Linked DNA regions of Drosophila melanogaster. The gene in region 1 interacts genetically with each later gene. Each region holds a gene or a part of one and is shown in the gene's direction. Other genes may lie near its edges.

The links.
Region 2: of rn (region 1) and gl, changing one enhances a phenotype caused by changing the other (phenotypic enhancement), as found in Drosophila melanogaster (one study listed by BioGRID).

What each region holds. Positions count from the first base shown.
Region 1 is NT_033777.3:7,300,373-7,316,072, reverse strand, and holds the start of rn (rotund), read left to right. Parts: upstream 1-6,443; 5' UTR 6,444-7,043; intron 7,044-7,597; 5' UTR 7,598-7,745; coding exon 7,746-8,216; intron 8,217-11,118; coding exon of another isoform or gene 11,119-11,481; intron 11,482-13,839; exon of another isoform or gene 13,840-13,900; coding exon of another isoform or gene 13,901-14,314; intron 14,315-14,896; coding exon 14,897-15,436; intron 15,437-15,700. Other genes in the region: CG10029 (uncharacterized protein), read left to right, coding at 1-240; CG42544 (uncharacterized protein), read right to left, coding at 11,119-11,481. UniProt on the Drosophila melanogaster protein: Transcription factor involved in imaginal disks development. Isoform rn is required in the wings, antenna, haltere, proboscis and legs disks, while isoform roe is required in the eye disk.
Region 2 is NT_033777.3:18,362,032-18,380,304, reverse strand, and holds gl (glass), read left to right. Parts: upstream 1-7,566; 5' UTR 7,567-7,788; intron 7,789-8,435; 5' UTR 8,436-8,526; coding exon 8,527-8,572; intron 8,573-8,855; coding exon 8,856-8,986; intron 8,987-9,469; coding exon 9,470-10,962; coding exon of another isoform or gene 10,963-10,966; exon of another isoform or gene 10,967-11,358; coding exon 11,359-11,503; coding exon of another isoform or gene 11,504-11,728; 3' UTR 11,729-12,378; downstream 12,379-18,273. Other genes in the region: CG7675 (uncharacterized protein), read left to right, coding at 1-92, 941-1,079, 1,338-2,068; Nup43 (nucleoporin 43kD), read right to left, coding at 12,444-13,237, 13,303-13,585; WRNexo (WRN exonuclease), read left to right, coding at 14,210-14,269, 14,326-14,394, 14,529-14,633, 14,692-14,897, 14,960-15,184, 15,240-15,483, 15,540-15,695; hmw (hemingway), read right to left, coding at 16,122-16,259, 16,322-16,481, 16,536-17,233, 17,289-17,903, 17,976-18,179. UniProt on the Drosophila melanogaster protein: Transcription factor required for gene expression specific to photoreceptor cells.

The sequences.
Region 1 (15,700 bases):
TACCTATTTCCACGCTTCCAGGACATTTACGATCCAGGTGCCCTCAAAAAGTTCATTGATGACCTGTTCAGCGGTGCACTGCATTATAATTACCATGTGGCCCAGCAGGCTAAGGAAGATTTGGAGTCCATTATCGATCCAACTGAAGACCTGCCAGTCGTTCACGAGTCCAAGTTTAAGGACCTCAAGCCATCCAAGCACCGTTACACGTTGGTCAACCGCACAAGGGACGAGCTATAATATTATCCTACTCTACCATAATCTTTGCTCATGCTTAGGTGTAATCATTTAATATCGGTTTAAGTCAGATTCTTAAACGTAAGAATATTAATTTATTTAACTTGACGCTCAAATAAAATTAATTTGATATCAGTTGTGGTGTTATCTTGAGCAAATAATATGGTATAATATCCCCCATCGGATACAATCCGTTCTCCGACTATGAAGTAAAATATTTTCACAAGCCCATCGCCGACTTCACCAGCATTGAATGCCCCATTTTGGACGCTGTGACAAATCGCACACCCATCATATATGGGCATCTCATCAGATAGTCAGGAGATGACACGTGCCTCGATATCGATATTTCCTGGAAGATCGCCTCAATCCAGAACAGGAACGTCGATTTCATTTGAATATGCTTTGCCGACTGCTCTACACCAGACCATATAAACACTAATAAACTCATTAGTCAAGCATCTTACAAGCAAATCTCACAGGTGCAAAATGCCAATACAATAAAATTGCAGTTCTCTTTGCAATCTAAGTACAGTGAAGTGGAAACAGGACAATTTTGTATATCTTTGAAACTTAAAATATCAGTAAAAATATCAATAAAAATATAAATATATTTTTTTTAACAACAAGTATTTAAAAATGTTGACCGTACCGAACCGATGTATTCTTTAAACTACTAAAAATTTAACGACATAAATTCCAATTGATTTATTATTAAAAGATAAAGTGCACAATTTGCATTTTCGTTGACAGCTTACCACATGTATTCTAACATCTGATCGCATCACAATGTTAAATTCTCGAGGGAGTATCGCGTCCTTCCTTTTCAGGGTCTAGGCTTGGTGCTTACACTTCTACTCCAATATTGTCATAATTAATAATATCTTTATGGTCATATGCCAGCGCAAAATCGAGCGTGACTCGCGATGAAGTATCTGCCACAGCGGCGAGTGCAGCTGCAGGTGCAACTGCCTCTAATCAGCGTCAGCAGCGCGTGCCACTCGCGTTGTCACCTGCACAATTATAGAATTTTCCATAGTCGGGCAGTGCTGGCCACCAAAATGGCCTGTTCCCAAAAATGGTGTCCGCCAAGAGTCCGCGCGAAGTGTCCGCCATAAATAACTGCCAATAAATGTCAACGGTTTTGGCGCATTAACATAACAGCTACGCCGAATTCGTTGACAGGTTACTGCTTTTTCATCGAGCGCAAGACCTACCTGGGCAGCATCTTCCATCCATCCATCTACTGGCATCATTATTTCTCGGGCTAAAATTGAAATAATCGCCTTTTAATCGCCTACGCCTTGACGGGCTGACTTGGCTCCAATTACCGCTGCAATCGTTAACTCTTCTGGCTGACAGCCAAGTTGGACATGAGCCCCTTCAATTGCCACTGGGATCATCAGGCCGATCGACAATAGTCGCGGAAGTCACGTGCGGAAGTTTTCCAACTTTCTCAGTTACAATGTTGGCCGACAAACATGCGAGTTCCGAATTAAAGCTGGAAAAACTTCCGTTTACAAATTACCTGTTGTCTTATTTTTTTGGAAATTAACCTAGTTTTAAAAAAAATTTTATTTAGATCTTTTTTCCGTTATTAAGATGAAGGCATGAACTGGTACTTAGTACTCATTTATATTTATGAGAAAAAGATTATAGTACGTTTGCTAAGATGGATGTTACGGGTAGCAAAGACCGTTTTCGACCTTATTCCTTATTCTTAGCTAGGTCCACTAGCCGAGTCCTATTAACAATGGCCGTCCGTATAAGATCAATATATTTATGATTCAACAAGCAGATTCTGTAAATGCCTGAGAGCGATTATGGGGTATACATACAATTAAATCGATTTTTAATAAAAATATATAGAGTAGCTGCTGACTTAAATACTCCTTATTCCTTCCTTTTAAGTTCGGAAAGATAGCTATAAAATTCATATACCAATATCCTTTTTTCAGCTGTAATAAAGCGAACGAAAATATTTAAAAAATATTTTATATTTTGTGCTTGATGTTCCCGCACTCGAAAATACGATAAATTCCCAAAGCTCAGTGAGACCCAGCTGACAATTACAATAGCAATTTGCCGTGGTCAAATGTGTGATATTTCAATTTAAACTTAACGGCGCAAGTCATTAAACGGCAGATACAACATGTACTGCAATCGGAGGGAAACAAGATGCCGCAAAAAGCGCAAATGTCGCAAAAGACGGCAAAAATCGACAGCAAAAGCAGAAATATCGGTGGCAGCCGCCATTTGAGAGAGCTCAACATATTCAAAGTTGTGCACGAGCGCGATTCCAATTTCATTTTGTGCTCGGCGACAGGGCAAAAACCATTTGCGCAGCAACAAATGAAGAAAAAACACAAACAAAACGTTTTTGTTTAATTAAATTAACAAAATACGCGTCGGATGAGCGGCTAAAAAAACTCGGTTATTTTGCACGCAGACCAACACGCCAACACGTGTTGCAGAATTGGCCCACAGATAGAGAGAGTGTGGCCAAAAGAGAGCCAATGTCAATGACTGGCTTTAAGCCTACTCTTAAGCCCTATTCTGTCCCACTTCCACTCGGCAGCCAAGTGACTCCGTCTCACTCGAGCCACCATTCAGTTGGTGGCCACTCACTCGCTCTCCATGCGAACATAGCTCATGCGCCCTGTTGTCTCGCTCTGCGGCACTCGGCCAACCCGTTCTGGCCAATCGGCAAAAAGCGGTTGAAAAACAGGCGGAGCCTCTCCGGACCCCCGATGCAACTTGGTCGGGAGCCCTCAGCCCCGAGCCCTGATCCCCGTCCAGAGGCCCAAAGCCTGGCCATAAGCCACATGCAAACCCTGCCCCTGCGCCATTGCAGCTGTCGGGAGAGTCTGTCAACCATTTGGCGTCCATGACCAAGCATGACGGCTATCTGGGCCCTGTTTGTGGTGCCACTGCTTCTGCCACTATCTCATCTCGAGTTCTGGCTTTCTGGCTGGCATTTTGACATTTCGCTCGGAGGCTTCTGGAAGCGGTGGCGCCGCACTGCAGCATCTGCAGCCACATCAGTTATCTGTTCCGCTGCGGTTTGCGGCGATAAATGTGCGCCATCATGCAACTGACTAACTGCGGACTTTGCATTGCGTTGCGGCACTGCGGTTCTGTTTCCAGATCGTGCAACTGTGTTATCCAAAGAAGTTATCCTGAACATAAAAATATGGAAAACAAAATTGTAGTATATTTCAAAAGAAATTTGAGATTTGTAAACGAAATGGGAGCTCCTTGGATAAGAAAATACATCAACTTGAAAAGACATCAAAATGTAAAATATGTTGCTTCTGCGTTTGGATACCTCGGAATTATATAAACAAGGAATGTTTTTAATAAATAATGTTTTAAATAAACAAGTATTTAAAAATTGATGTAACAGTTTTTAGTACATTCATTTAAAACAAGCTTGACGTTATAATCGAGCTTCTCGGCTATCAAATTCCCGCCACTCAGCTGGCGGAAGCGCGAGGGAAAAACTTTTCAAACTTCTTTTGAAATCTCGTAAGAAATTGAAAGGAAGAATAATAAAATAATATAATAATAATATATTTTACAAAAGTCTGGCTCGGATGGTTTGCGGGCGTTAAATGTTTTTGGCATGAAATAACATGTATTAAAATAAAAAAAAAAAAAACAGAACAATTTTCAAAAGAGTGTCGTTAGCTTTTGTGGGCGTTTGTGGATTGGGATGATCAACGGTCAAAAACCATCTTGCACTACGTAGAATCTACCTGACTAATCTCAACTTCTAAGCCTTAATTATATATATAAGAATATATATATTTATACCTGTTATATACTACTATGCCCGTTTACTCTACATGTAACGGGTATAAATACGTAATAATTTAAATGCAATTTTGTATTATATATGTACGTTTGGTATAATATGTCGTTATGTTGTCTTTATTTAAATACTATCTCATCGTTGTTGGCTGAAGGTATTTAAAAGGCGCGATCTATTATTTTACATGACACTTTGGCTTGGATTTGTTATTAAAAACATTAAAAACGTTTGCGTGAAAAATTATTTAAAAATAACTTAACAAACTTTATTCAAAAATTTTGTCAAATACCTAGATTACAAATAGCGTACTTTGATTTAAAATCTAATAAATAATTAGGATTTACCGATTTAATATATATTATACAATAAAATTTGTTATTTTTTCGTTTCTTAAAAACACATAAACTTTTTATTTTTCTTTTTTGATCATTTTCCAAGTGCTAAAAGTTATCTGAATCCATCGGTCAAAATGGCTGGTCGTCTGCAAATACAAAGTGGCATTGATGACAGTGCAAACAAGAGCGGCGACAGTCGAAATGCGATAAGGAAATTTGTGCTGCACTCAAATAAATGAAAAGCGGCACGGAAAGCGCATAAAATGGCAGCCGACAAATGGAAGACCATAAAAAATATGCAATTGCGGCGGGCGAGCCATATTAGCAGGTGAAATAATCAAATTAGCTGATAAACCGAACGGGAAACTGCTGGACATTAGGTTCCCAGTCGGTCGGAAAAACCACGATGGCTAAACGCAGCCATTTCCCAGTGATTTGAGTGAGGAAAGGCCAGCTACATCGTTGCCGTTGGGATCAAACATAGCTGCAATACTGCTCTACTGGTGCAGTACTGCAATTCTCAGTCCCCAGGTGGATGTGCCAATTGCATTGATTAACTAAATAAACGCGCAGCACTTGCATTTTAATTTCATTTATTTTGACCTTTTTCCCCGAGGAATGGCAGTTGCAGTTGTCACAGCCGAAATGCGCTGCCATTTTCCCACCCGCTGGCGACACATGTCCGTACCCATAAAAAATGCCTTGTCAGGAGTAAAAAAAAAAAAAAAACTTAAGAAAAATTAACAAAAAATATAAAACGGCAAGCACAAGCAAAAAGATGCCAGTCAAGGGGCGAGCAGTGAAAAAAGAAATAAACCAAGTGCTCCAATAAAAATTCCACCGCCTTCACCCTCGTGTCGACCTGCTCTCACACTCACACCCTCTCTTTCACGCTCGCACTCTCTCTTTTTTGCCCGCTTTTATGGTTTTTTTTTTGTTTTAAGAGCGCATCGCCGCTTTTGCCCTGCTTGCTCTTGAGCTTGGCCAACGCTGCGTATGAGTGGAATTTTTTCAGTGCCGCCGAATCATCGCTTCGCTTGAAATGAATATGTGTGATTATTAGCCGCAAAAAAGCGTGTTTCGTTTTTGCCACTGACTTTGGTAGTTTTTGCGGATTTTTAATTTGAATATTACATGTATTAAAAACTCATTACTACGCGTGGTTCGCCATCGAAGTTGGTCAATGGGCTAATGGTCTGCGGATGTGATTTTTTGTCATTTCAGCGTTTGTCTCTTGCGCAAAATTATGCATTTGGGATCGGAACGAATGTATGCTCCTATCTTCATTTTGGGTGTGGAATTTGCATTATAAAAATTTAAAAAAGGAAAATTTTAAACGTAAATAAATCAAGTTTCATTTGTACATGGTGGCAGAGGAGAGACGTAGAAATTGCAGACTAAGTAACTACATTTTTTACAAGACAATAAATAAAATAATAAAACGTTATTAAGCAATTAAATGGAAACCACTTTCCTGATAACACTTTTGATTAACCCGTCTTCGGTGGCGGACTTGAACCTTCATTGCTCGTCACCTAAACGCCCCCGTGTTTTACCATAAAGATTGAGCTATAAAAACGGAGTGCCGCATTAACCGTTCGCCGCGCAACGAGCAGCGTGCAACGTGCAGCATGCAACTCGCAATATGCTCATTCATGCTCAAAGTCAAGAGAAAAGAAAAGCCACTCAGGCAAAAAGCCCGAAATCAAATCAAAGTTGCTCAAGAGACCCGGTAGCAAAAAGCGAGCTGCAGGAAAAACCACAAACAATTTTTTCCATCGCCCCGAAGAGAGAGGGAGAGAGGCCGCGTGAGAGAGGGAGAGAGCGAGCGAACCACTTTTTGCCACTGCTTTTGGAGCAAAAGGAGTAAAAAGCTGTTGCGCAGGCGTCGCCGTCTGCCCCAAAGCCGTGCCAGCCACGAGTGCGAGAGAGAGACCGGGCGAGTGGAGCGACAGAGAGGGCAGCTATGCTGCGATTTGGCGGCGAGTGCGAGGCATTTGAATGTTTTTTTCGTGGCCGCACTCAGCATTCGAGTTCGGAATTCTTGCGAGCTGGCAGCTACTTTTTGCGCTGCTCGCTGCTGCCGCTTCTGCTGAGCCAAAGCCATAGGCAAAGTCCAAGCCAGGCTAAGCCAAACTAAACCTGGCCCAAACGGCCGGCCACTCGGCCACTGTCCACCAGTTGGCCACTTTCGCGCGCGTTCCAGCCAAGTGCACTCCTCAGTCTGCACTCTCCGTTCTGCAGTCCGCAGTCTGCAGTCTTTTTTGCCCGCGTCTCCCAATCCGCGAAGAATTCTGTCGCAAAGTGCAATGCATTTTCGCCATTCCGCAAGTGCAGCTGCTCCCCCAGCTCGCGGTATCATAATTAAAAATCGAGCCGAGTGAACTCGCAAATTGTTATCACCACACGTCGTCGTCGTCTGAGTCGGTAAAAAACAAGCCAGGCCCTCGAAAGGGTCGAAATTGGTCAAGTGTCAATGCGATCGAGGCCGTAATAAACGTGTTTCAGTGCTCCCCTGAATAGTTATTGTGATCCGCTGATCAGCTGAGTGAATGCAAGTGAACGAATATATTGAGGAGTATCCACTTACTACACGCGATAATTGCGAGAATTTCCACGAGCCACTCTGAGGAGTAGATATCGAATGGGGTTAGAAAGTAATGAAGTCATTCTATAAGTCCCAGCAGCAGCAGCAAGAAAAGACTAGCCTAATAAAATATTTATTTTAGGCCATTTTGCGGAATTAAGTTTTAAGATACTTGTTAACAATAATTTGATAAACTAGTTACAAAATTATACAAACACAAGTTAAACTGTTCCAAAAAGTATATATATTAAATATATTTAAAGCTTCCGCCTAAATCGATAATATATTATATATTTCCATATGTCCCTATAGTAAAATTATAGTTCGGTGATGATTAATAACAAAATTTACTTCAAATGGAAATATACCGTTTTTATTTTGTAAACTGAAACCATAAATTTTTCGTTTATTATGTAAACATTCCATAATTAAAAATTTTTTAAAATTATTTATGAAATCAAATCGGTTGCAACTCATTGCTCACATCACGATTCTGCTTAAATATTATTTACCTAGGTAATCCCAGCTTTCTTTTCTATTGGGTTCAGTACACTCCCGATTCAGGGATAGACGAAAGTAGTTGCTTTCTAACCACATGACTCTTTCCCTACTATTCGCATCTAGCTCGATTTCCCAAAAAGTGAACAAAACAACAAAACTAAACTAAATAGCGCGTTATTTAATTGAAACGTAAAATAGATATTCCGAGCGAACCCCCAAGTGGAACTAATTAGAATAACGCCCTGAACAACCGCCAATCGAAGGTGCTTAAATGATTATGCATGGTACCTGGTACAAGGGACCTCAGTTGGCGCACCATCCTCACTCGAATCCGCATAACAGTTCGCACGGCCACAGTGACTACCACCAGTTCCGCTCGTACCCCTCGTTCGTTGTAACGCCCTACCACGATGGCCATGTCCAGGGCCCGGCCACGCCCACTCCATGCACGGCCCCGCCAACGCCCTGCAACGGTCCAGTTCCAGTTTCAGTTCCAGTTTCGATTCCCGTCTGCCACACCGGCGGCCAAGGTTCGCCAGTAATTGTCGAGAGCTCATTTGCAATCGCCGCCGCCGCCGCTGCAGCGGCTGCTGCCGTCGCCGTCGGAGGATCCAGTGCCACGCCCCTGCTGCCCAGTCCGCCCATCAAGATCGAGCAGGTCTTTGGCGAGCCCTCTTCGCTTGGAGCCGTCGTTGAGGATTACGCGCTGGGACTAGATTGCCCCGTGGAACACACGTTTCGAGTAAGCGCACTAAAAAGTTTACAATATTATGAAAATATATTATATGAATACGACCTGGTATTATTTTATTTAATAAACACTATTAAGTACTTTAATTTGAATGCAACGGAAACTTTTATCTAGCTGATAAAATAAAACATTTACGTTGTTTTTATTGTATAGGCATTAATGATACTGATACAACCGTTTCTTTAATTATCATTTGTTAGTATGAGAGCTTGTATTCTTGGGCAAACGTTAAATCTGCTTGCCAAATTAGGAAATCTTCTAGCTTTTGAGATCTCAGACCGTTTACATAATCGAAAACACAGATAGATAATAATGATCCTAATGATACATCTTCGATTGAATAATAAATCGTTTTTTTAAGTAGAAGTAAGCTCTAATTCTACTGAAGAAGTGCAAAATTTGTGTAAGGTCATTACTCCTGAACATGGATAAATTTACCTACCCAAAACTAACTTCTTTGAATTTAGTGACATGAATATCGAATAATAATTTTTTTTAAGTTTTACTCATTTTGTATCCACTTTTAAGATATTGGTAGCCATTTGATAAATGTTTTCTTTTATTAAATAAATGAACACTTTAGGCGTTATTTAATAAAAAAAAAATAGTTAAAAGAAATCAAAGCTCATATTTTTAATCCTCACCGTTGGTTGCCATGCTTTAGCCATCCGACTGCCGTTTCCTAGCCAATTTTATAGCAGTGTATGGATAATGTTATTATGTCAAATTACTGGTTAGCATCCCCATTGGAGCAGCTGCTGCACTTGTTTGGCTCGACTCTCACCACCGAAAGTGGGCGTGCTCCAAATCAATTTCCATAAAATCATCCAATAACACTTAAAAGCCAGGCAGGGCAAAAAGCCGACAAACACAAGTGGCAGGCGAGTAAAAAACAGGAAAACAAACACGCCCCCAACTCGAAGAGCGTCAGTGAAAGAGCTCTCTCTTTCTCTCTTCGGGGAAAGCAAGAGCACCGCAAAACGGAGAGATCTCTTGTTTCGAGTGGGTTTTAATGGTAAAACGCTCAAGCTTTTGCGTCGCTTTTTCAGACGGTCCAAAGGACACTTTTTGTCGGCTTGGTTCGTGCACAGGATATCCCATAATTGCCTGGCTTACAAAGCTTTTCGCAGTCTAATGCAGATTGACTGATGGCTTCAAGTGGATGAAAGGAAATTAATGCAAATCAACAGGTGGTCCTGTGAAGTTTAAGGACATATGTCAGCCTGTGGAATAAAATATGTAATTCGAGGAATTCAAAATATGATTGATTTTTTTAATTGAATAGCAAATAATATCTTAAAAATTTTAAGTTCTCAAAATTTCTTATATTTCGTTATAAATTGATGGATTCTTATATGCGTTTCTCGTGTGCAGAAATTCCGAGAAATACATTTCAATTACCCGAAAGAAACCATTTTTTTTTTCAAACCTTTTTTGAGCTTTTAATGCATCTTAAAGGGCAAAACCATTTCCTTCTGCTGCTGGCGATGCAAAATGGACGCACGTTCCTTACGCTTATCAGGACATTTCGCCCTCATAGCCAAGCCCATGTGTATATGTGTGTGCGTGAATGCCAGCAAAGGGCAGCTGGAAATCCTTGAACATAAAAAGAAAACAAGCCAAGCATCCAGCACATGCACATAAAAACATATGCTCCTGGACAGGATTTAGTTTGGGGACGCCATCCGACGCCTTGCACTTTTTCCGACGCCGACTGCGACGCAGGCTGCGCTGCAAATGCAACTCCTCCATGCTGATACTGCCTCATTTTAAAGGGTCCTGATACTGCACCCTCGTACTTCTTATAAGCAAATCGGCTTAGACGAGCGTTTGCTAGAAAGTCTATCTCAATATAGATTAAAGGTCTTCCAGAATATATATATAATTATGGTGGAACAATGGCTTAAGAAATTGATACAATCCAATTGAGGTTGAAATGATACAAGAACATTTTTTATTTTAATTAAAAATTACATAAGTATTAGAACAATTATAAGTAGATAATAATTCATAGAAAACACAAGTCTTTTGTCCATATGGTGTCAATAACATATTTTTAAGCTTTATTGATTACTTCTATCAAGGTTCCTAGAACTAAAAAAGTTCTTAATAAGATTTGATCTCCTACTTTTCCACATCGATCTATAAGTAACTTTTAATTTACTCTTTGATCTACTTGGATCAAACAAGATGAATATTATTCAATGGATTTCCCTGCCGCACAGATGAAACTTAACTTGAGGGGGAAAATTGCAGCGGAAAATAGAAAATCATTCAGAGAAATTGCACAGCAAGCGGTAACAAACAAACAACGGGCTTCAGCTGAGCTGGGGAAAACTAGTAAGAAAAAGGGAAATAATATAAACAAAATGAAGGAAAGAAATTGGCGCTCGTGAAATGTTAACAGGGCCAGGAGGGCGCTGAGTTGAGCAGTGGCAGTGGCAGCAGAAGGATATATATCCGCAGTCATCCTCGAGCAGCGACGCCGACAGAGGCAGCGACGCCGACTGTGAAGCTGGCAGCGCTGAATGTTTTTATCCTTTCTTCGATGTGTCGTCGCGGCATATTGCTCTGCTCGTATCTGTGTGTGTGTGTGTGTCTGCGTGTGTAGCAGTGTGTTTGTGCCAGGACATCACACGGTTTCGCTTTTCTTTTACAACTTTTTGTTATTATTTCGTTTTTTGCTCGACGCCTGTAATGTATTTCTTTCAGTTTGCTGGCGTTTTTTTTTTGCTTCATGTGCAAGAAAAAAATAAGCTTTTACTTGGCTTTTTTATGTCCGAGTGTGTGTATGTGTGCGTGTTTGTTACTGCTGCTTTTCCGAGCTCTACTTCTTGAGTTTCCTTTTCGCGCGCGCCATTTCGCTGCTGCTTTCCACAGCTCCTGCTGCTACTTACCCGTACAACAAACATGGCCATAAGTCGCCGGAGCTCGCTTCCGCTCTGTCTGTTTTCCTTTTTCCACCAGTCGCCGGCTCTGCCGCAGTCGCAGTCTCGGCCGGCGTCTCAGCCGCAGTCGGCGTCGCAGTAGCTGCGATTGTTGCATGTGGTCCTGGGTTTGTTGCCTTTGGCGGGCTGCAACTCTCGTTGTCTTCAGTTCGCTTGGGCTTGGCCAAATCTATTGGTCGCGGTGCCGCGCTCACGCTCGCGTCCGTGTCCGTGTCCACATCCGCATCCGCATCCGCATCCGCGTCCGTAACCGTGTCCTTTTGCGGCCGAGAGTTGCGGCCACCGCACGCGAGATGGCGCCGCATCATGACGAGGGCTGAAAAACTCCAATTAGGATAACCGGGCTGGTGTCGGGGATGAATTTGTACATATTTAAAATCTACTGACATCCAGAGTATTAAGGACAAGGACGTGACATAAACGACTCTACCCCTTTCTTCTATTATCGATATTTGGTTATGTCCCAAGAACTCCCTGAGCTATATCAATAATATCTGATCACTATAATAAAGAACTAAAGATCCTTTTCAGCTTATTATGCTTATCTTCAACTAATAAAATAAATCAGAACTCTTATCATAGCTGATCCCAGAAGGACATGTAATAAATAATTGAAACTTCTGTTCTCTTTACGTGCTTACCAGCATATCAAAAGTACCACTATATTTTAAAAAGTTCTTAGAGTCAGAGTGAATTATACTTTAGTTTTTGGCAGGTAGATTTGGATATTGCTAACATTCGAGCACCGTCAAATATGAAAATATGCCAAACGTTGTTATTCTTGTCTACGCCTACAGCAAGCACGTCTTTTTGAAGAAAAACAGGCACACAGGACCTATTATAGGATGTGCAGCACACACACATATAAGCGCCGCTTGAAGACATCGAGGCGAAATCAAAATAATAAAAATCACAAACATGAGCAAACCGTATAAAAGAAACCCAATCTGCCGGAGCTCACCGTTTTCCCCCGATCTGCCGCATGTCGCGCAAATTCAGCTTTATTTTCTATTTTTCCCCATTTTTCGCTTTTCTTACAAGAAAATGCTGCAGTGCGCGCTGAAACTGCAAATGTATGTCTTTATAACGGGCAGTGTGCATATAAAAAGAAGAGAGAAGGGGGGAATTATAAAATGAAAAAGGGGCAGAAATAACAAAAACTGCAGCAGGAGGAAGGTTGAGAGGAGCAACAAAACAGTCACAACACACAAGAGTCTCAGTTAACGCACACACACACCATATTCCTTCATGTTTTGTGTGTGTGTGTGTGTGTGTGTGTGTGTGAGTGTATGTGTGTGGACTTTTGTATGTATAAAACATTCGCGCGCGCTCGCCATTTTCTTTTGCCCTGAGCTGCTGCACTTTGGCTTCCAGTTGGGCTCCTCAGTTGTTGCAGGTTATCCCACGCTCGCTGACGGACGGAGACGTAGACGGACTCACGGACAAGACATCCGGACAGGCGGACAGCCGGACGGGCAGGAGCCAACACAAGCTCACCCGGGAGACCAACTAGCAAGCACTCACTCTCAAATCTTTTCTTATCAGCATGAAATGAGGAAAATTGCGGTACATAGTTAGCTGCAGCTTTAAGCCCCGTATGCGTAATATGAACACCGGTCAACGAGGCGTATACACAATACCAAAGCAGTGCCAACACCAGGATGTCATTGAACACCACAATGGCATTGAATAAAGTTCCTTTTTATGTGAAAAAGTAAAAAAAGATAAGCCATGTTAACGCGAAGCTAAATAAAGGATTTTACGAATAAAGATCCTCAACGAAAGTGCAAAAATAAGGATAAATCATGTAAACTCCGAAAATTGTAAAATTCAACTGCAACGCAAAGTTCCTATCACCCAGTGCAAACTACATTTAGTATACAAGTGAATTATATTCACATTTCGCTTTTAACAAATAAAATAATCTACTTAGTATTTCAAATAAATAAATAAAATATTTATCAATCGAAAAATAATCTCTTAAATAATTGATGAGAAATTAAATTCACAATAAATATGCTGGAAAACGCGAATAAAAACTCACCACTAGACGACTAACTTAACCCACCTAGTGGAAAACGCAACAAACAAAACAAAACCTAAACTCCAGCCACAGAATGAAACAATCATAGATGAAAAGTAAACAAAACTCCACAGCTGAGCAAATAAATCAAAACGCAGAGACAATGAGAACCGACAAAGTGTTTACTAAACAATAAACAAAACATCAAACTGAAAAAAAACAAATTGGTCAGCATATGCAAAAAAAAAAAGAATTGCTACAGATGTCCATCACGAGCAGCACAACCATAAAATCAAAAAAAAAAATGTTCCAAAAATAGCAAACTGGCAGCCAGCAAAACTTTTCAAGGTCGTCGCTGGCAAGTTTCTGGTGGCAAATCATTTCTATTTGTTTCAATTTAGTGCGCATCTAAAAAAGAGCGGGGAAAAGTTTCTAAAGTGCACTCCGCCCCAGCCATCTAAAATGAAATAAAAGTTAAGCCAAAATAAAAAGACATCAGATTTGGTTGCAAAATTTTTGTTTGCTGTTGTTCCGCCCCCTTTTTTCAGCGTGAAATGATTGTGTGTGTGGAAAATCAAGCAAACTGTGCCTCAGTTAGATACATTACTGTAAGCGGGGGCTTTCCCGTTTGAAAGTGAAATTGTCGAGCTGGAGGAGTAAAAAAAAGGGCTGCCTACATCTGGGCTCCACCGAAGTTGGTTGTCATGCACGAACTCATTGGCAAATACAGCCATTCGGACATGGACATGCTGAAGGATCAGCTGAAGCGTGGGGGCTACATGGGCGCCCTTGGTCCGCCCACGCCCGGCACATCCGCCCCCTCGCCCTTCCTGATGCCCGCCGAATTCTACAAAAGCCTGCTCGCCAGCGCCGTTCTGCAACAGCAACAGCAGCACAAGTTCTACGCCGGCACGCCCTCACCCAGTCCCGCCCCCAGTTTGTCACCCACCTCAGGTCGCCACTTGCTGTTTTCCACGGCAGCTGCGGCAACCGCTTGTGCTCCGGAGAATGGTCACGTGAAGACGGAGCTCGAAGAGCAGGACCAGCAGAACGGGATGCCGGAAACCGTCGGACATGAGGAGCAGAAACCCATCATCGAAGAGAACCCAACGCCGAATGTTAGTATGGGAATATGTGTGGAAGTAAATGAGGGGTCATAAATGGGATTTCAAGGGTTTTAATTTTGATTATTTTGGGATGCAGATAAGTACAAATAAAACAAGGCTTTCCTGTGTCGGCCCTTCCTTCATGTGCACACGAAGTAACCCTTAAATAAAAGTCCTTGCCCCACAATTAGAACTTAATTGTCGCATGAGACTAAATGTTTCTATCAGTACTAGTTAAACGACATGATACGGTCACTTGAGAAGTAATTAAGAGCTCAAAAGTATTATCATTATTTTATATGGAAAATACTTTTCCCTATTGATTACGAATGATCGATCATTGGATCTTTGGATAAGGAATTGTTATCATCTTAATATGTTTAAAACCCTTTGATTTGTATTGATCGATTCCTATCTCATAACTGAATGGCGGAATGCTTAGAAAATAGAAACATATGACGACTCTTACGATACGGTATGAATTCCATTAAAAACTCGTTTCTTTTTTCATGCTCAATGCCTTGCCAACTCAATATTTTTAAATGTTTGACGAAACCCTTTTTCACACAGACAACAAACCATTTTTCATTGCAGAAGCCGCACAACAACAACGGTTACTCGTGGTCCACCGGCAACAACAACGAGGTTGTCAGTCATAGCAGCAACGGCCACACCAACAACCACCCAACAACACCACCCACTCCGCCCAACGAGGCCAGCGCCACCCAAGCGACTTCAGTGTCCGCAATTAATTTGAATCAAGCCCAACCCGCATCACAGACGCGTTCAAACTTTGGCAGCTCCATAAAGTCACCACCATCAGAACCGGACGCGGTCACTGCTGCCACGTGCAAAAGTCAGGAGAATAACTCCGGCCAGAACCCCACCCCCAACTCCCTCTCCGATCACAACCCGGCTCACAACCTTAACTCGAATTCAACGGCCGCTGCCGTGGCCGCCGCTGCCGCCGCCGCCGCCGCTGCCAACATGCCGATCGGCGGCGTCCAGGGTCAGAATCCCACCCAGGGCCTGGTCCACTGGATGAGTGCCGTGATGGCCGAGCACATGACCGGCCAGACGCACCACGATCCTGGCGCCGTAGGCATGCACTACATGTGGAACGGGAACGTTGACGTGAGTATCAACTGGATAACTGGATTCACGGGGGCGGGCAAAATTCGTGGGGCTTGTTAATTTTAGCCACACTTTGAAAAATCCAAAGAGACAGCCTATACCGAATTATTACCACAGGACTTAACTTACTCCGTCTAAGTAAATTTGCCATGCTCTTTATTTGACAGTCTACAAATTAATCTGATAGTAGTTTAATAAGGTATTGGTTAGATCAAATATGGCTTTCACTTCTTATCAACAATTATGGATTTCATTATATTTAAT
Region 2 (18,273 bases), about 11 Mb from region 1:
TCTTCCTCATGACTTCAGTGGCCGCCATAGTGGCCACCCTGATGAGCATTCGGTTCTATCTGCGCATCACGGCGGGACGATGTTTCACCGAGGTAACGAACGCACCTCACCCAATCCAAAAAACCAAGTCCCATGCTCCCCAGAATCGCGACACGACTCGAATATTTCGCACTTTATATGGCTGTTGCTCCCACTTCCGCTGCGAATTCTTTTCAGATCTTGTAGATGAGCTGTCATATACATACAAATGATGGTGGGATAGTTTACTAAAACAGTATTCGGACACGACCTTAAGCTTATTAATCGCTCAAAACTTTTACAAATTTTATATATTCATATAAATGCGAACTATTCAGATAAACATTACAGATCCATAATTGAAAATGGTTCAGCTTACCGCTCTATAGAAAACTACATATATCACTATCTGGAAAAACCCCATATAATTAAAACGATTCTGTAGCATTCCAAGCATTCCGACTATGGAAATCTTTTAACTATATATGAAATCACCACTAGGAAAACTTAACGTGTTTCAATCTTGTTATTACATTGGTCAGTTGTGACGCGTCGACTTAATTACAGATTAAATTAGATACCTTCTGAGAGGCGAGGTACGTCACATCTCTGAGCTACGATTACCACCTGACCGAACATTGTTCGTATCCCACAAAACATCTAAGCTTCTGGGTATCTCGGTTACAATCTGTGAGATCGCTTACCTCTGATTCACAGAAAGCTCTCAGCACTCGAATGGCAATTAAGCGACCCGTTAATGGGTCTGAAAACTAAGATAGCTTCCGTTCCAGACGAACTGCGATTACTGTGACTGTGAACAAGCGCCAACTAATTAGTATTGTAAACATATTTTCGAACCGCCCTCGTCCAATTTTCGATTGCAGCGCCGTATTAAATGATTAACCTTCGACATTGATTACAGACAAAGATGGAGGGCAAGACAGTCATTATCACAGGCGCCAACAGCGGAATTGGCAAGGAGACGGCCAAGGATCTGGCTGGACGTGGAGCCCGCATCATCATGGCCTGCAGGAACCTGGAGACTGCCAATGCAGTGAAGGGTAAGTGGACCAAGACAATGCCTATGAGGTTATGCCAAGGATCTGGCAGGACATGCAACACGGTCAAATTCCGATAACTGGTCTCATCCAGTTGATTATAGACTCTGGCAAAAACTGCTTACTACCAATGATCTTTTTTTATTAAATATTTACGTTGTAATTACTTTAAAGAAAGTATCTTATAATATGTTGGCGTTGCATTAACCATGTTTTTTTTTACATAACCGAATTTTGTAATTTATTGTTGATTTCCCACAGATGAGATCGTCAAGGAGACGAAGAACAACAAGATCCTAGTCAAGAAACTGGATCTGGGCTCCCAGAAGTCCGTCCGTGAGTTCGCCGCTGACATTGTGAAGACCGAGCCCAAGATCGATGTGCTTATCCACAATGCCGGCATGGCTCTGGCCTTCCGCGGACAGACGAGTGAGGATGGCGTGGAGCTGACCATGGCCACCAATCACTATGGACCCTTCCTGCTGACGCATCTGCTCATCGATGTACTAAAGAAGAGCGCGCCGGCTCGCATAGTCATCGTAGCCTCGGAGCTGTACCGCCTGTCGTCGGTTAACCTGGCCAAGCTCAATCCCATCGGCACTTTCCCGGCTGCCTACTTATACTATGTGTCCAAGTTTGCGAACATCTACTTTGCCCGGGAGCTGGCCAAGCGGCTGGAGGGCACCAAGGTTACAGTGAATTTCCTGCATCCCGGCATGATCGACTCGGGCATTTGGCGTAACGTTCCCTTCCCCCTCAACTTGCCCATGATGGCCATCACCAAGGGATTCTTCAAGACCACCAAGGCCGGCGCCCAGACCACTATCTATTTGGCCACATCCAATGAGGTGGCCAATGTGTCTGGAAAGTACTTCATGGACTGCAAGGAGGCCACCCTTAATGCTGCTGCCCTCGATGAGGAGAAGGGTCTCAAGATCTGGGAGGAGTCCGTGAAGATTGTCAAGCTTACGCCCCAGGATCCCAAAATCTAGACGGGTGTCTGCGGCTGAGAGCCAACGCACAATTTACTGATTTACTTTTCTTGTTTTTAAGGGGGAGTTTACTGTAGCCTAAGTTTTCTCAATAAAAATGATTTTGTATAATTAAATGTGGCTCGTTTTCAATATGATATATTTGCTGTCAGAAAAAAAAGCACATCAAATTTCTGACTATATATAATATATTACAAAGATCTTGGTTGTTATATCGGTTGCTCGTGAGTAAAAGGGTATACTAGAATCAAGACTAGAATATAGTCTGGATCAAGATCAATAGCCGAGTCGATCTGGCCATGTTCCTCTGTCCGTCTGAATGTCGAGATCTCAGGAACTTTAAAAGCTAGAAGGTTGTGATGCAGCATACAGATTCTAGATACATAGACACAGCGCATTCACACTAACTGAGCAACGGGTATCTGTTAGTCGGGGAACTCGACTTCTTATTGGCACAGGATTTCGGCTTGGATTTGCAAGGGGACCGTTTTTGTATTACATGTAATATATATTGACAGTCACTCGATAAATCTTTTGCTAGGTAACTAGATATGACAATTCTGACAAGTTTTGAACTTTTCAACTTATTGCTTCTCGTTATTTATTTTGTAGCTGCAGCTTCTTAGTCAAATGATCTTTAAAAAAGTTCTTCTAGGTATTGAGATATGTTAAAAAAAAAATATAAACCAATTTGCTCTATAAGACATTTTACTAAAAGTAATGAGCGTCCATTCATCCCTCTCCTAATACACATATATTTCAGAAAGAATTATGCAACTACTGGTTACATTTTACCCGTTACTCGTAGAGTAAAATTGTAAAAATATGTAACATAAAGTTGATATATTCTAGATCAGGATCATCCGTATCCGAACGTCGAGATCTTAGTACCTCAATTTTTATTGGTCTTGTGAATTGCTTTCGTTTTGTCACGCCCATGATTACTTTTTTTCTTATTTAATATTAATTACAAATAAGCAAACCTGGTTCACCCTAAAAATTAACAGCCTCTGTAAGCTATAACAGGAGTTACTGTTAAAAGCTGATGTAATAATAATTTTATGTATGGTCTAGAAATTAACTGAATCCTGGAATAATTGTTTTAATTCAACTGATATCCATCCTGGATACTCCGTTTCAAATTAATTTCATGAGAATGCTCGAGAACGACAAATCACAGCGCCAATCGGGTGAGGCAAGGTAACCCGATACAAATGGAGAGGGGAGCAGAATCGGGGAAAGGCCGAAAAATTCTCACACAAAGTTTCGTTGGACTCGCTCACCTGTTGAGGAGGACCAAGGGGGTGGATGGCGGGAGGACTCCCGGGGGACTCCGTCGACATGTATAATCTGATAAAATTGCAGTCGCATCCTTTGCGGGCTGTCACCACGCCTGTTTCTGCAGAAACGGAGGGTTGCGGTTGTTCGCTTTTGCGTAGATTGCTATCAGCTCCTCGACGGCACGTGACTTGCCCAATGATGATGATAGTGCCGATCGGTGGCTAATAATATGTTAAATGGCGTAATTGAAATTTAATATTTATCCAAAGGATTACAGGATAATCATTTGCGGCTCACCAAAATGGCATTAAAGATAGCGAAGCGTGCGGCACCGCAGATAATTGAAGGACCAAACGCCCCTTAATTCGCTACTGTGAGAAACCAATAGATCATCGATCGGAACTTTTCACAGGATTTGTTTGCGGAGGTGATGCCCCAATAAAAAACAAACAAAGAGTGCGTTTTTACTGCTGCATTGGTTTGTATCTGTCACCCAGAATAGCAACTTTATTGATAAGATACGAGTATACCGGTAATGAACCCTTCTGGTACCGAAACCCCCTTTTGTTTTTGTTTTTCAGAAAGTATCGCCTTACAAATTCAATTTGGCGCGCTTCACTCAAGTGTACTCATATCCAGAAGGACGAAAAGACATTGTTGTGGCCAAGTTCAGTTTGTAATTCAAGTAGTTGTCTCCTTTTCTTGGGGGAGTCCTTCGACCGTACTTGTATCTACTTCTCCCCCTGGGTTTTTAATAAGTCGCGGGCATTTAATAAGCTGGCTTAGGTTTTTAATAAGAAGTGGGTTATGCGACAGTCCCGATCCCGATGCCGAATCGTCCAGCTGTCAGGACAGCGGTTCGTCCTTCCCCATCCTGTCCAGCAAATGTCAACTGGCAACGGCTGCGCCTGTCACGCGGTCATCGATACTCTCCTCGGGAGCGGGGGCGTCGGTTGTCGGCCCAATTGCACTCACAGATGTCTCATGCACTCCAGTTCCAAAACTCTACAGTTCCTACTAAGTCATATCATAGAAACCATACAGTCCACGCCAGTTGTCTATATCACTGGGGAAGTGTTATTTACAAGTTAAAGGATCCTCTCAGTAAACCTAGTAAATAAAAAAATTGATAAGAAATTAGGAAGAGTGTTTTCACATCCTATATTGAAGAAGAATTTGGCTTAAAAACCGACTGTTAAGCGATGATTGATTGATATAAACACAGATTTTAGCCACTTAAATTCAATTGTTCTTATTAAATCTTAACTTTTGAATCGTTTCTTAATACAAATTTATAATTAGAGGTAACTTATGTTCAAATACCATTGATAAGTTTCATCAGGCATTCAATTACAACAAACTGATAAGTTCAAGGATATGACTTTCGATGGAATTAAAAGTTAAAGGTGTGGAACATTTTTATAATTCACGGCACTTAAGATTGCATTTTTTATTTTCTTAAATAAAGAATAAAGGAGTACGTTCCTTTTGTAAGGCTCTAAGCCCAGGACTTGTTTATAATTTTGTTACTTTTTGTTTATTTTTGTTTATTTTTGTATTTCTGTATCAAAGTTAAGCGCACTTAATGACAACTAATTGTTAATCATCTCTGATTGAGCAGGCACACCTCCCCCACTCCCCGCCTCCAGTTGAACCAAGTTGGTTAGCTCATTTTAGCCGGCATGGTAGCTAATATGACCGATTGGCATTAACATGTTGAATGACTTGAGTGGCAGCATAAAAGCAAAGCGCAGCCCAAACCAGGAGAAGCCCCATCGGTGCAGCCCGAAAAGTATTTCATTGATTTTAGAAGCCTCGCCAATTCACAACGGACTACAGAGCGGCGAAGGCAAAAGAAATGGAATGAAATGAATTGAATTGAAATGAAATGAAATGTGCTCGAACACGAAATGCAGAATGAAAATGAGTGAAATTTGCCTCTCAAGTTGCTGGTGGCAACATGGGAAACGTACGCAGGGATGGGCAGCATCATGTCCTGGCATTGTTAGTCAATTGAAATGCGCAAAACAAACACCAGCTAGCAATGAGCGTTCTGGCAAACAAATCCACGTGCGATGATAAGGTGGTTGGTGGATGGGCTGGTGTGATAACAGGTCCCTCTAAGAGGGGGTGCTCGAATATGTTTACCCTGCGGCTTAATTTGTAGCAAACTCTTGAATTCTTGAATTGCGGTCAATCGAGAGATGGGAAGCAGTTTGATCAGCTGACACCTGAACGCACCACCTGAGTGGAATCTCTGGCTAATTGTTATTGATACCACCGGATTGCCTGGCTACCAGCTCGCAGCTAGCAGCTAGCAGCTCAAGGATCGCATCCTAATCCATTCTGACAATCGGCAGCAGAGACAGGCTCATGTCCTTAGCCAAGTTGTTGACATGAAACTGATACTTGAAGCGAAGTAAAAAAAAAAAGAAATATAAAAATTGAAAACTGGTTCGAATCTGCTCAGACTGTGGATCTGATTTTAACACACACGACGCTGGCTGGGCTTGACCTGAAATTCCCATCGATAAGGTAAGGTGATATGGGGGATATAGCTCGATACGTATGCGATCACTGCAAGCCTTTGCACTCAACTGATTTTGCCAATTGGCGGTGAATTCGATTTCGGGCGTGTGAACCAGGTGATCGATCCGAATTGGGATCTCTTCATAGCATTATATCTATAATATATCTTAGCTAAATATAGTCGAGTTGGGCTTAACACATCTATTTCATAATTTCCATTTGCTTTTCCATCTGGCCTGCGATTTATTCCTTGCTTTTTCTGCTGCGACCACAAATCGAACTATCAAATAACATTCAAACTATTCACGATTGTCGGCCCGGCGACAAGAGCATCGATCGATTGGCAGTCGTCATTGGCCGGGCTACAATTGAGAATCAGCGCCGGAGATAGAGATACAAAGATACACGCAACAGAAGCAGATACACACGGCCAGATACGCAGATACAAGCTACAGAAGCAGTCAGGGGGTTGCCGGCCGACTTGGCCGATGGACTGCCTCACTTAACCACAAAACAATGGAGCGAAGAGGAAGCAGAATGCCGACGAAGACGATCAATGGTTGGCAAGTCCGTAGCAACTGTCCCTCCCTCATCAGAGACCCTGCCAGAAAATTCCCATTTTAATATGTGAATTACTTTATTTTCAATACTTCTTGTATCATATTTATATCATACCAATTACATTGTTTATTAATAATCCCTATAGTACTTTTTGTTTATTATGTAATAAAATTACAATACCTTTATTTTAAGAAAGTAAATAATATGTTATATATCGAAAATATTCACTAATCACAAGCATATCAAATAGTCTCAAGTGATTTGATGTCCTCTTAAGAATTTAGCGACAATCTGCGGTTGTGCATCTATAGATTTTAAGGAAAAGGAACTTCATATCTTCTTTTCAACAAATAAAGTGAGGATACTTGTTTGTGAATTGAAAACAACGTTATTTGAACGGCCATCGATTTTGAAGTGTAACATTCTAGAGCACTAGAACTGCTTGCTAGCGATTATTTCTCGAAGTGTACTCTTTTTTCTCCCCGCCTCGTTGGTATCTGGTGTCGAGCTGTAAGATATTGGGTGACAAATAAAAACTACTGAAAACTGCTGCCGATGTAGCTGGCCACGTATGAATGGGCCTGAAACTCGGACTGGGCGGGATCGGCAGCGGAGGAGTCGGATATGGAGGCGAAGGCGAAGGCGGAGGAGGGTGACTTTGGATTTGGATGAGGATGTGGACGTGGAAGCAGCAGAGGGGTGGGTAGTAGCCGCAAAAGCCGGCAGACGGAGCGCATTGGTTGGCCAACAACGATGACGGCAGCGTTGTTGTGGTGGTGGATGGATGGAATCTCAGGAGTGGGCATGGGATATAGTGCGGGATGGCTTGGTGTGGGTATGGTATGGTATGGGTTTGGTATTGGAGGAGGGGTGCTTTCAGCAAGGGTCTCGAGTGTGTAGTGCTGCGTACTTGTGTCATTATAGCCGACCAAAGTGTGAGTGCGAGCGAGATTGTTGTTGCCGTTGTCTTTTGCGCCCTTTTGTCGCTTGTTTATAATTAAGTGAGTATGTTTTTTGCGCCCTGCTGCTTCCTCTGTAGTTGTCGGTTGTCGCTTTGCTGCCGCTCTGCCAATCCGATATATCAGTCGATTTTGGGCCGAGGTGGCTCGAACCGAACTGCAACTGACAATTAGTCGCCGTCTTATGCTCCTCGCCAAAAGTCGCTTCTTGCCCCGCACTCGAAAAATCGAAAACTGAAAACGCATAAAATTCAAATCGGAAAACAACGATCGTGTGTTACTACTTAAAACCGAGTCTTCGAAAAAAAAGTTACAAACATATTTTGCAAGAAAACGTTGAAATTCTATTGGTGATCTTGGTATCATGCCATTTGTGGATCTATTCAGAAGGTGAAAACGATTAAGAGTGCATATGTGAATAAAGAACGGAATAAACAATATTAAATCTGCAATAAAAAAGAAGAAAGAAAAAATGGAATACAACTAATGTATTTGAAATAAAACCTAATAACTGCAAATAGCTAATTAAAATGTCCTAACAATGTTTTGGCTAAGATCGAAAAAATCAATTCACTAAGAAGATTTTATCAATTTAACAATATCATAGCTTTGATCTCATTAAAAAGAAAAACAAAAATTTACTTTGATTTGCATGCATAAATTAGTTAAATAGCAATTTTAACGTTTTGTTTCTTTCAAAATGAAAGTTATTGTAATTTTAGTATAATTTTTTAGTCCTAACAATAATGAAACAATCGAATTGAAATCCATCTTCGTCATAAGAGCGATCTATAATTCGATATCTCTTTTAAATTTAGAGGTGAAGAATCTGTCATATTGTGTATCTAATTTCTGATTAGCTGTCGAACTTTATTTAAAACTGAATTTATTAACACTTTATTGAAAATATATGAAGATTAGATTTGATATTGGTATTTGATTGAATAAATAATAAATTGAATAATAGATTTGAATAAATGAATAGAAAGTGAATCTTAATTAGAATTTACCAATAATGTTCCGTCATCGCCTTGCAGTTGGAAATTAACGCATCAAGATGAAGCGTAGGAAAAGCAGGAACAAATGCGCGACTGCTGAGCCCAAACGTTCCAGAAGTGGAGTCATGTCATGGGATTGTTATATAAGGGTTCCAAACTCCTGAACACAATTCTGGGTGAGTGAAATCGGAAGCACCATTGCACAGATATGCAGATACAGCATATTGTATGGCGATACACGGATGGAAAGTCGCGAGTCGAGAGAGCAAAGCAAATGGCGGTCTCTCGATTTGTGTATTTGTGTGTGTCTGTGTGTGTCTCGAGGGGCGGAGCTAGTGCGCACAGTGGTTGTCATGGGAGCAAAAATGTATCCATGAGATACGCGCTGCTGGCGAGCATCTCTGGCGTACTTCCAGTGATTTTCATGCTGTTCTTTTTTTTTTTTTTTTGGCTGCGCAGATTCCCTGGAAGATCAAGAGGGTGGAGCTATGTACATATCGTGCGATGTCTCAAACGGCGGTCCTGTGGAACCAGAGACGGGCTATGTGCCCAACAATCCCCTGTTCGGCCTGGCGCTGGACAGCCCTCAGGTGAGTCCTGGAATCCTTTTTCGATTTCGCCTCAATATCTCCGGAAATCTTCGAGCGTTCGGTTGTGCTTGTTTCGTGGAAAGAACTTAGCTGAAATCTGTGATATACCTGAACTATTTAAATTTTATAACCAGGAAATAGAACCCAATACCGAAATTGTGGTTATTTTAATTTGCTATATCGGTAACTGAAAAATCAGACAGTTTTGTACTAAGAAGTTTATCATTTTCGTTTTTAAAGTAATCTATTACATTTTTAACCCATACGATTTTATCTATTGGGAAGTTTAATAGCTTAGAAATTCCTTCCATATGTAATACAATTAAACTCTCCTCAGAAGTCAGTATTAGAATGTAAAAATAGTTAAAATTTACTAAATGTTTCCACTAACTAACTAATTATTTTGTCTTAGTTACGTATTAGTACTAACTGAATGTATTTCATAACCGGTCTCAATCTCCATTTCCGTTTTCGCTCGTGCAGCAAGAGTGCGCCGCTTCCTGCGTCGGCTGCCTATCCTGCCAGGGCAGCACCGCCCTGCCCATCTCCTCGCTCACCAGCAGCGACTTCGACTGCGGCGGCTGTTTCGATCCCACGATTGGAGTGGGCGTGGGCATCGGTGGCGGCCACATCCAGATCAGCACGACACCACCGGCGAGCAGCGGCAACGGGAGCAGCAACAACGGTGCCGGAGGAGGCTCCTCGGGTAATCACGGCTACTGGAGCACCGACGAGATGGCTTCCACATTTCCCGGCCTACCGCCGCTGGACATCGATCCGCTGCCCAGCCTGTTCCCATTCTCGCCCTGCGGCGCTTCCTACAACTTTGCCGCCGGCAATCCGCACCAGGCCGCCTCACTCTCCTACACAGTGCATCCGCACCAGATGCTCATTTCGCCGAACTCCCACAATCATGGCCAGATGCACTCGCAGCACCAGCAGCACCAGCACCAGCAATCCCAAGTCCAGGCATCGCACGTAGGCAACTCTCTCCTCCAAAGCAGTGGTGGCAACAATATCGGCAGTAATGGTAGTGCCGGAGGAGTGGCCAACGCTGCCAGTTGCTACTATGAAACCAGTGCTGGAACGGCCGCACCACCTCCTCCTCCGGCGGCAGCCATGTATCCCAGCATGAGCGTGAACGTCAGCATGAACATGACCATGCACCATGGCTACGGTGCCGGTGATGCAGGCGGCGTGCCAATGCAGTGCTCCCAGATGAACTGGACGCCACCCAGTAACTCCACCTCGGCGGCAGCAGCAGCAGCGGCGGTAAATGTGCTATACCCACCGCTGCTGAGTCCCGGTCACTATCCTGCCTCGGCCACATATTCCTTTACAGCGGATTTTCGGGCACCGGCTCCCACGGGTCTGGGTGCCCTGCCACCGCTGACGGTGGGCGAAAAGGAGTCGCCATCGCCGCCGGCCAACTCCTCTTTGGCTGGCTACTATCCCACGGGGGTGGGCAATCAGGGATACACACCGCCCCACAAAAGTCCCACCAGCTATCAGGCAGCCGCCCTGGGCTTAAGTCTATCCGCCTTCGAGGACGAGGAGGATAGCAACGAGGATCTGGACGGCGATGAGGGCAGCAGTGGCGGCGAGATGAAACCCAATCTATGCCGGTTGTGCGGAAAGACATATGCCCGGCCCAGCACGCTCAAGACCCATCTGCGGACCCATTCCGGCGAAAGACCCTATCGATGCCCCGACTGCAACAAGAGCTTCTCGCAGGCAGCCAACCTGACGGCTCACGTACGCACACACACCGGCCAGAAGCCGTTCCGCTGCCCCATCTGCGACCGGAGATTCTCGCAGAGTTCCAGTGTCACCACGCACATGCGCACCCACTCCGGCGAGCGGCCGTACCGCTGCTCCTCGTGCAAGAAGTCCTTCTCGGACAGCAGCACCCTCACCAAGCACCTGCGAATCCACAGTGGCGAGAAGCCCTACCAGTGCAAGCTCTGCCTGCTCAGGTGAGTCCGGGATGGGGGATTTACTTACACCGTCCTTCCTCATTCCTAAACGAACGAAAATGGTTTTGCTTTTACTTTTACGTAAACCCTTAAAGCTTTAAAGATAGTTTAATAATTTCTATCGTTTCAATATAAAACTAACAACTTGAACAAAACTGAGACTGTTGCAAGCTTAAAAAAAAGGAAAACCAAAGATAATATGCATCATTCATTTTCATTCATGCATTTTCGTAAGATTTTCAACTTCAACTAAAGAACTGAAATTAAATGAAATAATAATTGTTTATTCAAATGTAATGCTAAAGATGAAAATTACCCCTTAAAAAAGGCTTAGGCCCCCAAAGAGCAGTCCTGGAACGTTATACATCGAGTTAATTGCTTTTTTGGTGTCCACAGATTTTCGCAGTCGGGGAACTTGAATCGGCACATGCGCGTCCACGGCAACAACAACAGCAGCAATGGCAGCAATGGGGCAACCGGAGTTGGTGGAGAGTCCTCCACCGGCAGCGGAGTTGGTGGTGGCAACAGCCTGCTCACATGACAAAAGCCAAGGAGTGCAGGAGGTTTCCAGCATTACCACCCCCCGCACACCCACCACATGCACCACCAGCACCACGCCCATCACCATCACCACGCCCACATGGGTAACTACGACTACGGGAACTACAGCATCGGCGATTATACTCCACCCGGAGCCACACAAAACTATTCAGGGTATTATTTCTGCGCACTCAACAAGGCGCCCAAGTTCGAACGATTCTACTAGGGACTAAAATCTGGAGGATCCCATCTGGATAAGAAACCTTAAAGGAGGACCACTCAGTGAATTATACGGGGATAGTCACTCTATCGCTGATAAATACAATAATGTATATGCCATACTCAACATTGCTGTAGAAAAATAATTTGGGTTCGTGTTAAATTGAAATCCTAATTGAACATAACGATGTAATAATACTCATAACCCAAATCCGCATCCAAATGCAGTTAAAAATGCTCAAACAATACAAATCTGAGGAATCGCGGAGAATCGAACAAAAGTAGGCCTAAGAGCTGCACTGTACATACTTATACATACTATATTTATTATATTCGCTTAGCCTAATATGCATTGAATCCAAGTTAGTTCATCCATTAAATAAGGTAGTTCAAAACACGCATAAATCTATTCCAAATTAGCCAACGAAATAGGATTTAAGACGGATATGAGTATGAATCATAAGACCAAACAACACAGCAGCACCCAAAACGAGAATATTTAAATTGGAATTGCCAAGGCATTAAACCCATAAACACCTGTATACGAATATAGAGTCCTAAGCTTAAACTAGACGTAGATGTAAGACAGGTGCTTTGATCTAAGCCAATTTTGGAGTATATAAAGAAAATAATAAATATACGAAAATTAAATACAGTAACTAATTGATTTCAACAATTGAAATATTATATAATTTAGGTAAGGAATTCAAAAGGCTTGACATTTAAACAATATTATCAACTAGGTAAACGGCTTCTGTGTCGCCTCCGCAGACCAGACGACTTCCATGCACATCGAAGGAGTTGATGGACTTGCGAACATTACTCAGCACTCCCTCCACATCGACCAGGGAGCGAACACGATCGCCAGACAACCAGGGGCTGTGTCCGTCTTTGTTATAGTCGCACCCGAGAACTTTGTTCTCTGACCACATCCACACCTCGCCACCTTCTGCGGCGGTGAACAGTTTGCTGGGATCCTTTTGATGGAAGCCTATCTCGTTGATGGGACTTTTGTGAGCGCTGAGATAGGAGGCGGGATAACTGAGGTTTCGCATATCCCAGACGGTTATGGAACCCTCTTCGCTGCCGCAAAGTAAAATATGTTGCTGCATCGGATGCTTGGCAAGGGACGAGACAAAGTTCGACTTGTCATCCTGGGAGGCCACCATAAAGGTGGTCTTCGGCTGCGCTTCAGTGGCCACTCGGGCGTCCAGCATTCGGATAACACCCATCCTATTGGCAGTCACCAGTTCCTGCTGGCTGATATAGCAAATGGAAAACAGCGCCATGCTGTCCGCCTCAATCTGTCGCTTCACCTGGCGCACATTTTCCACGGAGACGATGCTTACACACCCATCCTCGCCGGCGGTGGCGATATCCGTGCCGTAAACAGAAAGGTCGGTGCAAGGAGCGGGCTCCTGGCTACGTTGGAAGCAGTGCAGACGTCCCGATCGGGACGTACGTTGCATCTGATCCTCCTCCACGGCTCGATGGACGTTAAACACGCTGAGATGACCTTGTTTGGTATTAAAATAGACATTTATTTAGCTGAGTTCATGATTGCTGGAACTTGTAACTGACCATCGGCACAGCTCACAGCCAGCGTGTCCTTGTCGACGAACTCCATGGCGGTCACATCGTCCTCCATTCTCACCTTGTCCATGCAGCGAGGTATCTGGTCCACTTCCGAATCCGTGGCGGTGACATATTGGTTCGATTGTAGCCGCCAGAGGCGCACGAAGTTCTGGTCCATGTCCCAGCTTCCAGTAACGAACCGTTCGCTCTGCTGCAGTTCCTCCGGAAGCCAGCGCACTTGGGACACCTTCTCGGATATGTAGTGCGTGGAAACGTTTGCAATGGACATCTTTTCGTTGGATTTAGCAGAGGATTCGCGATGTAAACAAAATAATGCGGCTTTCGAGTTAAGTGTGACCAGAGCAAGAAGATCGCAACATATCTTAGCGGGAAACTTAATCTGGTATCTATAAATTGGGCAGGGCTGGAAACAAAAGCAGAAAAATTGTTATGTGGATCTATATTATGGTACTTAATGAGCTTATCTCAAAAACGATTGGTAATTCTATTATGAAATTTTCCTGAAATATCCTTTAAGGTGGTCAAGCTTGCACAGGCTCTGCGAGTGGAGATGTCCCCCAAAATGTGGGGCGCCAATTTTTCAATAGCATATTATATATACTTTCTTGAGTCCTATAAACTTATTTCGCACATAGATAGTTATATCTTTCTTTTCTTAAAAAAATTGCATTTTTAGTTTATCGAATTCACCTTGAAATAACAATAATATAAATAAATAAAAAACATTTCCTTGTTCCAAATTCTACCGTTCCTTCATAACTCATCAAGGCACTTATCGATTGTCACAGTATTTTTTCGTACTGTGGTGTTTATGTGCGCCTACCCCTCCATATTTTTGGCGGGAAATAATAGTAAACAAAGCATTTAAGAAAACGAACAAGCAACGCGGGTTATGGAAAAATATTTAACAAAAATGCCCATCAAATCAAAAGCAAATGAAGTTCCCAAGGAAGTAGGCTAATACACAATTTCGTGCAGGGATAAAAACTAACTTAAAAGTATTTGTAGGAGGCGGGCGTCAAAAAGGAGACTCCCAAAGTGGCAAGGAAAGCAACAAAAAAGGATACTCCAAAAGAGGTTTGCATTTGTTTATTATTTAGAATTTATTATTTAAAATACTGCTACTGCTTTTTTCAAAACTAAGAATCGGTTTCTGTAAATCGGAAGCAATAATGACTATGTATACTATTTCAACCGAATAAATCTTGCAGTTGAAAGATAAAGAAAATGCTGGAGATGATAATACGCCAAAGCAAACGAAAGGAAGACCCGGTAGACCGGCTGCCAAGCGAAAAAATCTGGATACTCCAGATGTGGTAAGCAACAATTTATATATTAAGTTTATATTGGGACGAAGCATTAACAACTTTATAGAAGACTGAGAAGTTAGCGATGGAGGAAGAAAATCCGCCCAAGCGCCGGAGTTCCAGGCTGACCAGAAGCACTCGTTCAATGGCAGAGGATGGGTCTCCATCACCGGAGAAGGAAAAGCCCGAAAAGCTTCCCTTTATTAAATACAAGGGTGCTATAAAGTATTTCACGGAGAGCCAGGATATTGCGGCATCTGCTGACGATGTTTTGTAAGTTAACTCTATAACTTATTCCTGCTTGTTAATAATGTGCATTAAAAATCAAAACTTAGGCAATGGGTGGAAAAACAAAAAGATGAGGTAGTGCCCATGGCCTTCGACATGGAGTGGCCCTTCTCTTTCCAAACAGGACCTGGCAAGTCTGCCGTCATCCAGATATGCGTGGATGAAAAGTGCTGCTACATATACCAGCTGACTAATGTGAAGAAACTGCCTGCGGCCCTGGTGGCCCTTATCAATCATCCCAAAGTGCGATTGCATGGCGTGAACATAAAGAAGTTAGTTATACAAAGGAAAAATCCATTTGGATAAATAAAATCTGTTATTTTCCAGCGATTTCCGAAAGCTGGCACGTGATTTCCCCGAGGTTACAGCCGAACCACTGATAGAGAAATGCGTGGACTTGGGTCTTTGGTGCAATGAGGTCTGTGAGACCGGCGGGCGCTGGAGCTTGGAGCGATTAACCAACTTTATAGCCAAGAAGGCCATGGACAAAAGCAAGAAGGTGCGCATGAGCAAGTGGCATGTCATTCCGCTGGACGAGAATCAACTAATGTACGCCGCCATCGATGTCTATGTAAGTTGATATTCACTTTTCCATACAATTTCGTTCAATCTTAGTTTTCTTTTCAGATTGGTCAGGTTATCTATCGTGAATTGGAACGCCGCGAGAAGGTCAAGATTAAAAATGAAGAAGAGTTCAAGGAAAAGAACGGAGATGCTGCCTTTAAAGCAATGAAAGCATTGGGAGAGACATTTCTGACCAAGATCAACGAGGTGACTCTGTAAGCTTTTCTTTGAAGTTTCAGATATGCCATCTAATTCCTTTTACCTGTTTAAATATTTTCGCCTTCTTTCATTTATTTTCGGGAGTTTTTCTTAGTTTAATTTGTTACCAACGTGCTGCAAAATAATTGTTAAATTTAATATTGCTATCCAATTCGATTATTGATTACGATAACATTTATAGAATTGTTTATACCTAAATGTACAAATTATAAACACATTTTGATGCATTGACTTTGATCGGAACGAAATTTTACTAGTACTATACATTTTTGCATGAATTCTAGTTGGTTTATAAATTCCCTTAAAATTATATTAAGATTATACAGCTTTTTACACTTTTCAACTTGCAATAAATTTTAATTTTGTAAATTCGCATAAACACTTTTAATTACTTAATGAACACAGTTGGAGCTGCCTGTGGAGGCGTCACTTGAATTGCGGTCGCCGTGTGCCGATGGCCTCCAGTTTCCGCTTGAGCAGATCGTTGTCCAGGTCGATCTGGCGCTGATTCTTCTTCCGGTTCACAGCTGCGCTGGACAGTCGTGGCGCTGGAGGTGTCTGTCGCTGTATGACATTGTTAAGGAAGAGGTTTAATATTGGACATAAGTTCTATATTATGTACTCACCTTCTCGGGCCCATTGATCTTTATGCTACTGGTGCTAGCCTTGATCGTCGCCGTGGGCTTCACAGTCATCATCTTGCGCAAAAGAATCTGATTCTGGCGCTCGATCTCGCGCACTTGGGGATTCGTAAAGCTAAAGCTTTTGCGCCCAAGGTTTTTATAGCTATGCAGATGTAATTATATGTAATAGAGTGTATAAGTATTATAAGTTACTTACTTAATCTTATCATTAGAGCAGCGGGAACGCGACACATTGATTTGATACTCGCAACCGTCGCTGTTGAAGGTGCTTGGAGTTCCGCTAACGGCTCGCCTGTTTAACTCCATTGGTTTGCGCTGTTGTGGATGCCTCATGAGTCCGTCGCCCTGGCCACATTCGTCTACGAGGTAGCCTTCGCCCAAGCCGAAGTTCGCTGCCAGGTCATGGGGCAACTCGTGACCCATATCCAGTTTCTGCTCGTGTTCAATTAAATCCGATTCCGAGGGACATCTGCATTTGGGTCTGGGTAGCTTGGAAGATCGCGTCGTGAGTAGTGCCTCCTGAGAACGCTCCATCCGCATTGTCAGGGGGGGAATTCCTCCACCCAAGCTCCTAGCACTGGTCATAGTCGTTTCCGTCATCGATGACATCTCGGATTCAGTGTCCCCGCGCCTGTCACTTCGTTGCTGCAACATCTCCGTGGCCATGGCAAGCTGCTCGAAGGCTTGGCTATTTGGCGCTCCTCCATTGATCTGGAATGACTTCATGATCAATTCCGACATTTGGGTCATCTGCTGCTCCAGGTACCGAACCCTCGCCAGATCGGGCTGTGATGTTGGCATGTGTTCTTCTGTTTGATTTTCTTCGGGTTGTTCCGGTTCTTCCGGTTCTTCCTGCTCTTTTAGCGATTGCGAATCCTTAGCAGTAAGTGGTTGCTGTGAGTAGGTGTTTAATTATCTGTAGTGAGATATTATCTAATCCATTATTTACCTGCTTTCGTAATCTAGGATACTTCACCAAGGTGTTGTCTGTTTCGTCTCCTGATGCACACATGGTGACCACACTGTGCTCACTACTGTTATCACTGGCATCGACCAGCGAAACAATGTCCTTCTGGGGCGGTGGTAACTCCTTCTGGACCGTCTTTTTGCACACAGCTGTTACAATTGGTTCGTCCTCCTCCAGCTGCTCCACTTCCACATCCGTGCCCTCCTCCTCGTCGCTGTCGTCGGCGGATTGACGACCCATGGATCCATCGCTTTGGGCGTCGTCTTCGTCTCCTGGAATTTCTTCCTCCTCTTCTTCGATTTCCTCGACTTCAGCATCCTCGTCATCATTCTCGTCCTCATTATCGTTATCATTTTCGCCATCACCTTCGTCATCATCCTCGTCTTCAGCCTCGTCCTCATCCTTAACCCGAGAATGGGCACTGCCTGGCATCAGAGTGCGCACCGAGGGCGTCTCATCCTCCGGAGGCGTGTCCACTCGCAGACTTAGTTGATTTACCTCGGCTACCGTCTTGGTGATGACCACTTGGCTTTCGTCGTCAGAGGAGGAACTCAGGTAGGACACCACTCGGGCGCCCAAATAGCGACGGGCGTGTGGCTGTGGGCGCGATGCAGGTTGCGGATTAAGGCTGAACTCGGAAATAGTCAGCTCCTGGTGAGGAGGACTTACGTTGCCGCTAAGAAACTCTTCTTTCACATCGCTCTCGCTTTGGGTGTCGCTCTCCCCCAACAGAAGAGCGTCACTTGGTTTTGACTCCTCTGGCTCAATATACTCAATCTCTTCTTCCTCCACCTCCACCTCCGACTCCGAGTCCTCCTCGAAGGACTCCTCTCCATAGGACTCTTCATCTGAGTGTTCTCCAGCCCCCGACATCCTGTATGCTTATTCTTCGTCGGTTCTCTGATTAAGTTCCTTTCGTCGTTTGTAGTGTATTTTGTTTTTTTTGGGGTATTAGCGTTGTCACCCG